Linked DNA regions of Canis lupus familiaris. The protein of the gene in region 3 interacts with the protein of the main gene of each other region in a biochemical or structural test. Links are inferred from orthologs where the notes say so. Each region holds a gene or a part of one and is shown on either strand. Other genes may lie near its edges. The genes, in order: UBE2W, USP4 and TRIM21.

Region 1 (5,137 bases), on a different chromosome or scaffold from region 3:
TCGTTCCCAAGAAAGAATATCTCTAAGGCTCCAGTAAGTTTGAAAATCACAACCATGAACTGTATGAAGAACAACTTTAACAATATTATTGAGCAGAGCATTCCCAGCATTACAGATGTGCCAAAATAACTGTATTCATCTCCAACAGTTTAGTGCGTCCACCATAGTGTGCGATTCAAAAATTATTTTCTACGTGCCGCCATCTGAGGAAAGGTTGGGAGACACTGACAGAGTGCGTTAAAGGAGTTAAAACCTCAACTGCAAAATCCTCTCCAAGGAAAAAACCAAGGTCTATCCTTACTTGTTACTGATTCTCAAGACTAATTTCGTTTTTATCAAGTAATCAAATCTTATATTACATTTCTATAATTTGTATGTCTTTAAAATAGTTCTTATAGCTTCAGTAATCTCCTCAGCCGCGATAACATCCTGACGACCTGGCGTAAGATAAAGAAATCTGAAAACTTTTTAGGTAAGGACATGGTTAGAGCAGCATATGTATACTTTTTCCTAAGCACTCTGACTGAAATCCCCAAAACATCCATTTCCTAACCTCCTTCCATGCTTTCCCTTCATAGCATTATCACCTTCTAATATAATATGCAATTAACTTAAGTATTTGGTTATCTGTCTCCCCCAACTAGACTATTGTATCCAGAGCAGAAATCCTTGTCTACTTTTGTTCACTGCTCTATCTCTAGCACTCTGATTAGTAGCACAGTAGGGCCCTTAAAAAATAATTGAGTAAATAAACAAATCCAGTTGTTTTGAAAAGAGTGAAATTTTGCTATTAAGGGGCATCTAGCTGGCTTAGTTGGTAGAGCAGAGTCTTGATCTTGGGGTTGTGAGTTTGAGCCCCAGGTTGGATGCAGAGATTACTTAAAAAAAAAAATAAAATAAAATCTTTAACACAACATTTTGCTATAAAGATGGTCAGGAAAAATTTTATTCACCAAAGACGGAATAACCACACAGAAACCAGTACTGAATTTCGAAAAGCTTGATTTATCTATATTAAAATTATTTTTCAAGGTACTGTCAGAAAACCTGTATCTGAAATATCTGTATCAGATATTTCGAAAATACAAACAAGCAGTGGGAAAATACCTAAAACACAGAAAATTCCACTTATTGCAGTGGCAAATATTTTTTTTTCCATTGCTCAAGTCACCATGTAAAATTCAAGATTATCAACATTAAGTCCTGCACTGACCCAATTCTGTATTCACTTTTTTCTCTTAAACCGGGAAATTTGTTTTTTCAGACCCTCAAAGTTTACATCTAACCAGCTAACTAGTTATCCCTATAATTGTCTTGTTAAATATAATCACAGGTGCTGTGGGTTTAACCATAATTTTTAGTCTTGAAACAAATTATTTTAATCTTAATACAAACTATCTTAAATTAGTCATATAGCCCATCTACTGTTCAACTAGTGTTCCACAGTTCCTTTTTTGGCCTCAAATGACGAAACCTCTCTAACGTCTCTGGGGAGACCAGTGTAAAGTATAATGTTTCCTCAAATTGTTCTTGTTTTTTCCCTGCACCGTTTTGTGACATCCCTTCAAGTAGGAAAGTTAGACATTTTTCTATTCTTCAGGAAAGTCCAGAAGCAGCAGCAACGGTAAATAGAATATCGCATGGAAAACTGGTTGAAAGGGGATAACACAAAAGCACAAAAGTAAATGTGAAGCAAGTATGTACGCAAAAGAGGAAGATGCAGAAAAGAGAAGAAAAAAGTGTTCTCGCCTAGAAATGAAAAACAAACCAAAAACAGAGGGTGGGGGAAGATAAGAAGATTTGCTTATTCTTCTAGAAACAAAAGCACTGAATCCTAAGAAAAACGTGGGTCTCTTTAAGATGTTAAAACTCTAAAAAGCACTCAGCTGCCACTCCAAACAACAGTTCTATCTTCTCTCCCTAGGTGTTCTCATCAGAGCTAGTCTTCATTTGTAAAATTAAATGCAGGCTATAGATAAAGCAGAGTCAATCTTTACAAAACTGCAGTGGTGGTTGCCATCTTTGCCTGGGGGGAAAAAAGAAAAAACAAAACAAAACAAAAAACCACAAAAAAACAAAAAAACAAAACTCCTTGGATCTGGAAAAAAAGGAGCATATTAAGTTGGAAAGCCAGAAACCCATGAACTGCTAAGTCAGGCAGCTATGACACAGGTTAATAAATGCCTCCTACCAAACTAAGATTCCACTAAAGATCTAGGGAAGAAGGGCAAAGGGCTGGAGCTTTACCGCGACCACAAGGGTGGGGCACCGCAGGGAAAGAAAAAAAAAAAAAAATCTGAGGGCGAGCCATCCCGGAGGTATAAGGGGGCTAGTGACTCAGATCTCGGGGAGACTGCCTCTTAGGAGGCAAATGATGTTGAAGGGCCAAGGGCAGCCTCGGGAGAGCGAGTGCGCTGCCGCACTAAGGTTCGCAGAGGGTGCGAAAGCTAACAGAGGAAGGTACCCACGGGGCAAAGGAGTGAGAGTCAAAGAGAGCAGGGCCGAGCGGTCGGAGCAGCTGGGCGTGGGAGGCCTGAGCAGAGGCCGCGAGGCGCTTCTGCAGCTGGCCGCCGTCCCCGGAACGCCTTTTCAGCTCCCCCCCGCCCCCGGCCCCTCTCCGGGCCGCCCTTGCCCCAGCGACGACGGCCAGAGCAGCTGTTTCCGCCCGGCCGGGGACCGCGGGGAAGGCATCCCCGGGGCGGGCGGGCAGGCCAGCGTCAGTGTGAGCGAGAGGCGACCCGAGACCACTGCCGCCACGCCAACGCCAAACTTCACCCCTTCCTCCTCTCAGCCTTCTTTATCCCCCAACTTCCCGGCCGGCTGGTGTCCGCTTCGACCGCCCGAGGACCCCCCCCTCCCCCGCCCTTCTTCTCGCCGCCTCGCACCCCTCCCCAACGTCCTGAAGCCGGGAAAGGACTGGCCACCAGGGCCGCTCCCGAACCCGCCCGGGTGCCCCAGAGTCCCGGACGCCGCCCCCGACAAAACGCTTGCGTCCTCTCGGCGGCTCCCTCGCCCGCCCAGATGCTGCAAACTCCTCTCACCTGCATTGACGCCATGATGGAACCATCCCCCCAAGGCCGGCGAGGCCAGAGACGCAGGGGGCGGAGCCGCCGTGCTCGCGTCACGCCGCGGGGGCCCAGCATCCTGGGCGCCGGGGGCGGGGCCTCCGGTGGGAAGGCGACGGCGGGAGGGGATTGGCTGGCGCCCCGGCGGGGGGAGGGGCGGCGGGAGCGCGGTCAATGGCGCTGTTGGTACCCTCGGGCCCAGCGCGCTCTCCGGCGGCCGCGCTCCCTCGCCGCCGCGCCGGGCCTCACCTGGCGACGGCCGTAGGTTTTTTTTTTTTTTTTTTCTCTGTTTACCCTAACATCTTGATGATGCCCAGCCCCGTTGGTTTTTCTTTTTGCTTTGTTTTTCCAACCGCTGGTGGTGTGGTTGGAAGATGCTCTTGGACGTCTTCTCCACCGCGCCAGGCCCATATTCACACCTTGGGGCGCGGTTCCCCTGCCCGCGGGGCTGCCTTTTACTCTTTACGGTCTGGAAGGCTTCTCGTGTTCCCAGTGTCGGGGGAGAAAGACGCATGTCGTTGTACAATGGGATGAGGACGGAGAGCAAAACAGTACGTTGGCATTCTAAGGGCCAGGGTGGATTTGTAGAGCTGAAACTTGCCCGAAAGGGAAGAGACATTTTTAAAGTTTTTCTTTGGTTCGTGTGCTGTTGTTTCCCCCTTTACACCAGCCCCTCGGTTTTAAACTAAACGGGTATCCGTAATAGTTAGGTTGTTACGGCATTCACATCTGTGTAGGGATTTGACCCTAGACGCGATTGTTTTGTTTTGTTGTTTTGATGGATCTGTGCACTTTGTAGTATACACTTGACACCTTTTGTCACATCTGGACTTGGCTTCAGCCTGTTTCGTGGTGGGCAGTTCTGTGGTCATTTGACCTAGGGATGTATTTGAGTAGGGAGAGGTGAGCATCCAGAATTTTTTCTGGAATGCACCAGTTCTGCCAACATTTATCAGAAGCCACCTTTTAAAAAGCTATGCCAGGGACCCCCGGGTGGCTCAGCGGTTGAGCACCTGCCTTCAGCCCAGGGTGTGATCCTGGAGACCTGGGATCAAGTCCCACGTCGGGCTCCCTGCATGGAGCCTGCTTCTCCCTCTGCCTGTCTCTGCCTCTCTCTCTCTCTCTCTCTCTCTCTCTCTCTCTGTCTCTCATGAGTAAATAAATAAAATCTTAAAAAAAAAAAAAGCTATTCGACAACTTCAGTTGTCATTGGTTAAGAATAAAATGGAAGGGGATCCCTGGGTGGCTCAGCGGTTTGGCGCCTGCCTTTGGCCCAGGGCACGATCCTGGAGACCGGGGATGGAGTCCCGCGTGGGGCTTCCTGCGTGGAGCCTGCTTCTTCCTCTGCCTATGTCTCTGCCTCTCTCTCTCTCTCTTTCTCTCTATCATAAATAAATAAATAATAAATAAATAAATCTTTTTAAAAAAAGAATAAAATGGAAGCCAGAGGCTTGCATCTCGTGTTCTATCTTTTAAAGATTTAGATGGCTGATACATCTAGTAGAAGGCTTTTTTGCTTTACCAGAATGAAAGCTTGAAATCTGTTGTTTTATTAACTTGGAGCTGTTGTTTAGAAATTTCTGTAAGATTTAAATATAAGACCAATGTAGGATATCACCCTTCCCACTCTAAAGATAGATCATTATGTTCTCTGGGAAATTCCCTAATGTAGGGGATCCCTGGGTGGCGCAGCGGTTTGGCGCCTGCCTTTGGCCCAGGGCGCGATCCTGGAGACCCGGGATCGAATCCCTCATCGGGCTCCCGGTGCATGGAGCCTGCTTCTCCCTCAGCCTGTGTCTCTGCCTCTCTCTCTGACTATCATAAATAAATAAAAAATTAAAAAAAAATAATTCCACCCTATTGCCAGAAATGAGCTGGTATTCTCTTTGTTGTGCAAAGTGACGGTGCCCTTGAGGAATGTTTGGAGACTTTTAGCTATTAGGAATCATCCAGAAGCATATCTGGTGTCAACTCAATTGTGTTGTCAACACTTCACCCATATATCCCAAAGAAGGAAGAAAGCTATTCCATATATATTTTCTTCCAGAGATTTTTTAATTCCTATAATGCAG
Region 2 (4,512 bases), on a different chromosome or scaffold from region 3:
CCTTCAGAGGATCCAGGAAAACTAGCAAGTGAAGGCGTCTTATAAAATTCATCATCTCGACGTTGGTAAAAGAGCACATAAGCTGCTTTTGTCTATAACACAAGAGGGGAAAAAGTTCATTCACTGGTTGGAATTACCATCCACTCTCCCTGGCTTTTCTCTCACTGTTCAAAACCCACTCTCAGAGTTTTGCCATCTTGCCCTGTGCATTCAGACAGAGGCAACAAGGAAGGAGACCCTGCTCAGAGAGTGGGGAAAGGCCGGTACCCTGTGACAGAACCCAGAGAAGAACCTAGCTTCTCATTTAGGAAGGGTCCTGGAAGGAATGGCAGTCAACTCTCTACTACACCCAGCTCCCATTGTCATATCAGGATGACCAAATAACCACCACCCAGGAGGCTCTTCCCAGCTTTAATCCATCATCAAGGTAAGAGGAGGAGCCAAGTATTAGAGCCTACTCACCACTATCTGATCTTCAGAGGCCAGGGACACGTTGCTATCATCAAAATAATACCACTTCCCGTTCAGTTTGTTCTTCGCATATGCAGTATCTGCCAAGTCAACAAAGAAAATACCTCTAGCAATCACCAGAGAACTAATCTGGCTAGTTTATTAGACTTGCACTAAACAATAAAACTCTAAAAACACAAAACATAGGCCCTGAAATTAAGAATAATTTACAGGGCAGCCCTGGTGGCTCAACAGTTTAGCGCCGCCTGCAGCCCAGGGTGTGATCCTGGAGACCCGGGATTGAGTCCCACGTGGGGCTCCCTGCATGGAGCCTGCTTCTCCCTCTGCCTGTGTCTCTGCCTCTCTCTCTCTCTCTGTGTCTCTCAAGAATAAATAAATAAAATCTTAAAAAAAAAAGAGAATAATTTACAAATACAACCAAGATAAACTAATTTTTTTTTTTTTTTTTTGAAATCTGTTCTTTCTTGAAAAGAGTAAAAATGGGGCACCTGGGTGGCTCAGTTGATTAAAGCATCTGACTCTTGATTTCAGTTCAGGTCATGATCTCAGAGTTGTGAGTTCAAGCCCTGCATCAGGTTCTATGCTGGGTAAGAAGCCTGCCTAGGATTCTCTTTTTGCCTCCCATCTCTTTCTCCCCTCCCACTCCCACTCTTAAAAAAAAAACAAAAACAAACAAACAAAAAAAAAACGGCAAAAATGGAGTTGTCACAGACCAAGGCTTTTTAAACTGTTAATTTTGGGAAACTAATCAAACAGAGAAATCAGTATCAATCTTCAGGATGGCTATAAGTAATAATCCAGAGCCAAGGACCCATAAAAGCTGATGAAGTTTAAGATTTAAGCAAAATGGCTTTCAAAAGAACAGACCAAATCAAACTCCACTTGGTCCAGGTAGATGGCTACTACTGCCTCTTCCTGCCTCCAGAGTCTCTGGGGTAATCCCAGTGAGGGATACACTGGGCGTTCAGGCTTGCAGAGCTGGGATGTGAACAAGATGGCTTAAATTTTATCTTTCTCTGAGAATCAAAGTCTGTGGCTGGGTAACAATTCCTCACAGTGGTCCAAGCCTTCCCCACAGCCAACACTTTCTATCTTGATTTTATACTATTCTCCAGCAGGATGTTTGTAAACAGCAATCCCAGCAGCAATGAGTAATTCCTTGCCCACCCCACCCTCTACCCCAGACTCTACAAAATGACTGTAATGGAGAACTGGCTGTTAGTCTCCACCTGCTGCATGACGCTGGGCCAGCCATTTAACTCTCCAGTGAGGACTGGAGTGCCTACTGCAGAGATGAAGAACACAGGAAAAGGTGCCAAGGACCTGTCCCTACATTTGGCATTACAGTAATAATGATGGCTCTCAATCCTGGAGTTCCAACTGTGGACCTAATGTGGGTCCTCAGGCAACCAGCCTGATCTCATGGACGAGAGAGAACACCGAAGGATATGGAGGCTAAGGAACTTGCCCAAGTGGTATGTTTATATACTAAAACTTTTAAAAGTTATTTCATTTGGCATGCATGAACACAGATCCCAAAATTAATTCTGGAAAATTAATTTTTCTGGAAAAAAGCTGCATTAAGTGCTGCAGGGTATGATGTGATGAGGGATCACCAATAGCCATTCTAGGAGAGCCCCAACTTTCAAACAGGCACAATTTTATTTCCTAGCCTCTCCTAAAGCTACATGTAACCACGTGCCCAGTTACAAGCTAATGAAATGTCCACAGAAGAGCTGAGGGGGGACTTCTAGGAGGCTGCCTTAAAGGCGGAAGGCTGCGCCCATTTTTCTCTTCTTCTGATAGTGTGCAATGTAGACATGAGGGCCAGACACTGAGCAGCCATCCTGAGCCATGAGGTGATACAGTAAAAATGGAGGGGCGAGAAAGCAGACTGCTGGGCTGAGAGAAAAAGTGTCACAGTATAGGGAAGAGGTCTGAAGCTTAGGGAAGTTCTATAATTTATTGTTGAATGTAAAAGGAACTGAAACCTCCTGTGCGGCCATCTCTGGGGTCCTAACACTGGGTGTAGTGGCAGTTGTCATGGTGTAGATGCAGCAGAGATGTGAAGAAACCCAGCTCTTCACTTCAAGCATCACTAACACCTTTCCACAAACAAGTAACAAAATATACGAAGTCTTTTCATTAAAAAAGAAAATGTCCAGCGGCACCTGAGTGGCTCAGAGGTTAAGCATCCAACTCTTGGTTTTGGCTCAGGTCATGACCTCAGGATCATGAGATCGAGCCCTGCATCAGGCTACACACTCAGTGCGGGGGTCTGCTGGAGATTCCCTCTCCCTCCGTCCCTCCCCATCGCAAGTGCTGGTTCTCTCTAAAATAAATAAATAAATAAATAAATAAATAAATAAATAAATAAATAAATAAATAAATAGTTTAAAACAAAACGAAACAAAAACCTACACATTCTAGACATTTTGGAAGATAAGGTAGAGCAAAGAGAAAGTTTCGTTGATTTTTGCTTTAATATAGTTGTGATATGAGCTTCTACAGTGATATGAGTTTGAACACGTCATGGGCATTTCCCCATGTTTATTGTTTTTTTTTTTGCAATGGCGGTGTTCTCGTCCATCAAGTAGGTGGACAGCAGTGCCAACTGTTGGCTTACCAACACAGCTACTAAGTTTTCACTGTTATAAATAGGGGAATCTTTGTGCATTAAGCTTTTTCCCAATGTCAAGTACTTTCCTTAGGATAGATTCCCAGAGGTCGGAATTACTTGGATTCAAGAATATGAAGACTGGGGTGCCTGGCTGGCTCAGTTGGTGGAGCAAGGGACTCTTGATCCTGGGGTCATGAGTTCAAGCCCCATGTTGGGTGTAGAGACCATTTAAAACTAAAATCTGGGGGGGGGAGCCCCATCCCTACCCCCAAAAAAGAAAGAAAAAGAATGGAGAAGCAGCAGTAGTTTGGACCAAGCCTGAAACCTTGACACTTGAGGCCTGAAGGACTAAAGATAAAGTACTGAGGGCAGGGCCTGGCACACAGGAAGAGACCAGTGAGACTGGCCACAGGCATTTCAACATGTCAGAGATGGCAGATGCCAGTACTTACAGTGGCCAACTCCCATGGCTCCGTAATGATTAGACACGGCAATGAGGTCGTACACATAAGGCCTTGCCGACAGGTCACATACAAACTCGGACATGTTCAGAGCTCTGAGCACAAAACACAAAAATGGCCTTTACTGCATCAAACTAGAGAAAGCAGCTGGAGTAACCCAGCAACCCCTTCTCTGCACTAGGCTAGGACACAGGGAAGCAGAAACAGTAACTACATCAGGAATGGACAGCCAGGCTGCGTGGCAGGGGCCCTGTGGGCTCGTCTGACCACTGGCCTATGCAGGCTGGAGAGAAGTTGCCCGGCTAGCTCCAAGCACCAAGCTAGCACCAGTAAGGAAGGGCTCTGGGCATGGAGAAGAGGGCTGCAGCAACTATGTAGGAAGGGCAATTAGGATCAAAATTACAGTTGATGCCATAAAAATTTAAATACCAAAAGAGGCCCCAGAAAACTTTTCTCCCCAACATTTTAGTTTGAAAATTTTAAACACACAGAGAAGTTAAATTTTACAACAAATCCTCCTGTACCACCACCCAGGTTCTCCCACTGACACGTCTATACTCCATGCATCTACCTTCACTCCCACTACCCAGTGAGCATTTTAAAATCTGCATTTGGCAGACGAACTCTTATAAGGCTGGCTTCCTTTTCTGTGTCAGTTACACTCTGCATCCTGGGACCCAGGAACACAGGGAGTTAGTCAATCCCACTCTCTGCCCCAGGAACAAGACAGTTGGATCTGCATCTCCACTGCAGCCCCCAGTTATCCAATTCTCCTCAGCTGAGCACGCTCTGGTTGCTTCATCACCCAGTTAATGAGAAGCAGTACTGTATCTGTGCTGTCCAGCTGAGACCAGGCTCCCTGGGACTAATGACGGATGGGAGGCCCGGTTCAGAGAGCAGAAATGATTAGCCTCACTCTGAGCCTGGAAAGTGCTTCTGTAGGACAATCTTTTCGCCAAA
Region 3 (3,744 bases):
ATCTTACCCTCACCTGAAGGCAGGGTCACTTTGAAATGGTGCTGGCTTTTGTTGGGGCTATTTGTACACTGCCAGGCTCATGGCCCTGGTTTGAACAGGCTCTGGCCAAGAGTGTATTGGAGGAGGTGGAGTGTACTATGCTTGCAAAGTGTGCAAGCAAGATGGGACCTACCACCACTTCTGGGACAAGGCCAGCCCACGTGGAATATATGGTGTTAAAAGGGTGCAAGCTGGTCTGCTTGTGAAATGAGACCTGCCACCACTGCAGTGGCAGGGACCAGGCCAGCCAAAGCAGATCTGCAAAGTGATGGGCAGGGTATGCACTTTAAAAAGTCGTCTTCTGGAGGTGGCCTGCTCTGAGATGAGAAACTCTCACCTAGGTGTTTTTCAAGTGGCTTTTTCTATGCTATATCTCCAAGGGCTGTTTGTGGGGCTCTGTAAGGTCTGGCACTCAGCTTCCTGTCACCTCAGGGCTCTCCCAAGGCCAGGTCACCTGAATTTTAAAATTCTAGGCTTTAAGTCCCACTGGTTGTAAGAACTGACAAAATTCAGCCCTTCTAGTTATTGAAGTCAAAGGTTATGCGGATTGATCTTCCCTGTGCAGGTTCCCTGGTGTGATAGTTTGCTTCTTGCCCTTCTCTGCTCCAGCAGATCCCTTACTCCTGCAGGTGGTCCGTGGTCCATCTAGCTCCTGGACATATTTCCACCCTTCCCTACCCTTGTCAATGTGGCCTCTTTTCTATCTTTACTTGTGGTTTGTTCTGCCAGTCTTCGGGTCATTTTCTGGGTTATTTACACTGATGTGGGTGTTATCTAGTTGTATCCATGGGATGAGGTGAGCTTAGGGTCTTCCTCCTCTGCCATCTTCCCAGCTTCTTCACCTGAGATTCTATTTTAGACACTCTGGTTGCTGGAAGGATAGCTGTACTCTCAGGGCTGTGTATAGCACTTCTTCCAACTGTAAAAGCTTAAACACAAGAGTGTTTGCTATCAACAGGTGATACTGTTACTGCAGTTCTGACATTCACACCAATCAGTTTGCCAAAGAAGCAGAACTGGTAGGAGATAAATATGAAGAGATTTATTGTAAGGAATTCGCTTATGCACTTGTGGCGTTTGGCAAGGCAGGTCCTAAATCCACAGGGCCAGGCAACAGGAAGGGCAGGCTGTAACTGTGGCAGGAGCTGAAGCTGCTATTGGTAGGAGGGTCGTCTTCAGTGAACTTTTAGTTCTGCTCTTAAGGTCTTTCACTTGATTGGATTAGGCCTACCCACCTTATCCAGGAGAGTCTCCCTTAAAATCAAACAATTATGGACTTTAATGACATCTACAAAATACCTTCACAGAAACATTGAAAAACTGGGGGCTTATGGCCTAGCCAAACTGACATAAAAAAATCCATCCTGCCTTCCATTTAGATTGATACACCTTTTGGCCAACTCCATTATCTACAGGACATGGTTGGGAGAGCATGGTAGGGATGGGGGAGCACAGGGGCTGGAAATGTAATGTGGAAATCTAAGGCATGCATCATTCAGGCTTTATTTTTAAAGGATGGCTGCTTTCTTTTTTTTTTAATAGGTATGGAGCTACTTATGCTCTGATATGTTTATGTTGGAACAGTAATCCTAAATGTATACAAGAACAAGGATTGAATGTGATAGATCAAGACCCAATACATTTAGGAGTCCCCTTTGCAAGCCATGCAAGGTGTATAAGAGATCTTACCAAAGGCCTAGAGATGGAGAGGAGAAAACAAGACTTGGGTCACATAAAGATGGCAGAGACATGTTTTGGTTGATCCAGGTGATTTGGGCCCAACATAAGTAGTTTGTTTCATGGAGGGAGTCAAAGTAATGTAGGGCAGTAATCTAGGGCAGTAATCATTCAATACTGATGTTGAAAATCATTTTATGTAGATTTTCAGTGAATTCCCTGCCACAATCTGCTTGCTGGTATCCCGACACCTCTACAGAAACAAAGTGGTTCAGAGTTCCTGGGGAAATGGGGCAGAGTCAATGGCTGAGAAAGACACCAACAGTCGGTGTTCAGAGAGTGCTACCACTGCTCCATGGATCCCTACGATCCCACCTCCAGCGGACAGAGCACAAGAGGTGCTGCGTTTCTTCCTGCATCATTAAAACCAGTACCAAAGAAAGGCCGCAGAGGTCCAGCAAAGGCACATTCAGAGAAGGTATAGATGAGGGAGCCATGGTCAGTGATGTTGTAGAAGGAGACTGTGTGGGCCTCACAGTCCAAGAAGATCCCAACTTGGCATGGAGGCACCTGAAGGTGGAGGGGAGTCTGGGGACAGGTGCCAGCCTCATATTTTTGTTTGTTCCACAGCCAAATTGTCCAGAAGCCGTTCCCAGGGCTGAGCAAAAAGTGCCCCTTCCTCTGTGCAGAATCTGTACAAACACCCAGGTCCCAGGCCTCTTTTCCTCTCACATCCACCTCCCAGTAAGCCTTTCCAGAGTCAAAGCACTGGGCTCCCAGGACCATGGGATACATGTCAAATCTGCTTTCATTTTCAGGCACTTCCTGCTGGCTGTCTCCAAGCCTCACTTGTCTCCGATCCTCTGAAAGGATGAGCCATGGATTGGCTGTGTGTGGATCCAGGGTGATGTGTACTGCAGAGAGAAGCCCACGGTCAGGCTGGGAGAGGAAGGGGAAGCAGGAGCCCTGGGCCTGTGGTGGGGGTAAGGATGAGGGTGACCATGAGCCGCACTGTGGGAGAAAATAACCTTCAGGCCTGACCTTTGAGGGAACCACCTCTCTGTCCCTGCCTCACCTACCCTGACCTGCCAGGGACTCACTCTCCACCCTCATCACCCACTTCATTCCCCAGTCCCACACTCCTGGGGCTAGTCTCACCTCCATACGTCCTCAGCATCGTCTTTAGCCCTGGCACGAGGCACACACTCCTCAGACCCGGGGAGGTAATGTCCAGCTCCTTCAGGTTCCAAGCCTCAGTCCTGGGGCAAACAGTTACAGACCTTGTCTCCATCTCCTGCCCCACCCTCCTGAGCCCTGACACTATAACCTCCTTTGTAGGTAACAATTTAATGCAAATTTATAAGCACCTGTGTTAGGATCCTTGGGGGTGGGAGGCAAGAAGATATAGGACATAGTTCCTATCCAGGCCCTCCTGGTTACATGGGCCCCCTGAAGCCCCCTGACGCAAGCAAGCACATTCTGTTTCATTTTACAGGTTAGGCACCTGATACAGATGGAATTACTTCTGTAAGGAACCCCAAGGAGTCTTGCCCATGCAGCTGGTCTCACATGGCTCTTCCTGGGAGATTTGTAACCAGCTAGATTCTTTTTAAAGAAAGAGTCCTAGCAGGCTGCAGACTCAAGATTGAACAGAATTTCCCCTTTTGTTGGGGCTTCACTTCATAAAGCTGTTATGGTCCAATTACTTTGGATAACTCACCAACTGATGTTTTCACTAATTAGCCTCAGACCAGAAAATATTTTATGGGCTATTGGGTCTTTGAGAATAGGGAGAATGGGGAAAATATCAGTGCATGTCTTTCTAATGCAACAACCTTTTCCACAGGTATATATGCTTCCTGCTTCCCACTCTTCTTACAAAGAAAACCTCTCCTTACCTTCCCAGGACACTTTTCACCTCCTGAGGAGAGAAAAAAACAGAGTGTAAATTCTGGATCACTGGTTTACCGTTGAGATCTCAGTTCTGTGGGTGAGGTGATGCTCCCCCTGAGGCCCATGGGACATTGT

The links.
Region 1: the proteins of TRIM21 (region 3) and UBE2W are reported together in a solved structure, tested with the Homo sapiens proteins (2 studies listed by BioGRID, with this or other methods). The link is inferred for Canis lupus familiaris from reciprocal best matches to the Homo sapiens genes TRIM21 and UBE2W.
Region 2: of the proteins of TRIM21 (region 3) and USP4, one has a biochemical effect on the other in vitro, tested with the Homo sapiens proteins (2 studies listed by BioGRID). The link is inferred for Canis lupus familiaris from reciprocal best matches to the Homo sapiens genes TRIM21 and USP4.

What each region holds. Positions count from the first base shown.
Region 1 is NC_049250.1:22,894,470-22,899,606, forward strand, and holds the start of UBE2W (ubiquitin-conjugating enzyme E2 W), read right to left. Parts: upstream 3,151-5,137; 5' UTR 3,144-3,150; coding exon 3,042-3,143; intron 1-3,041. UniProt on the Homo sapiens protein: Accepts ubiquitin from the E1 complex and catalyzes its covalent attachment to other proteins.
Region 2 is NC_049241.1:40,354,769-40,359,280, reverse strand, and holds part of USP4 (ubiquitin carboxyl-terminal hydrolase 4), read right to left. Parts: intron 3,648-4,512; coding exon 3,544-3,647; intron 552-3,543; coding exon 463-551; intron 93-462; coding exon 1-92.
Region 3 is NC_049242.1:26,900,733-26,904,476, forward strand, and holds the end of TRIM21 (E3 ubiquitin-protein ligase TRIM21), read right to left. Parts: intron 3,638-3,744; coding exon 3,615-3,637; intron 2,976-3,614; coding exon 2,875-2,975; intron 2,631-2,874; coding exon 2,080-2,630; 3' UTR 1,062-2,079; downstream 1-1,061. UniProt on the Homo sapiens protein: E3 ubiquitin-protein ligase whose activity is dependent on E2 enzymes, UBE2D1, UBE2D2, UBE2E1 and UBE2E2.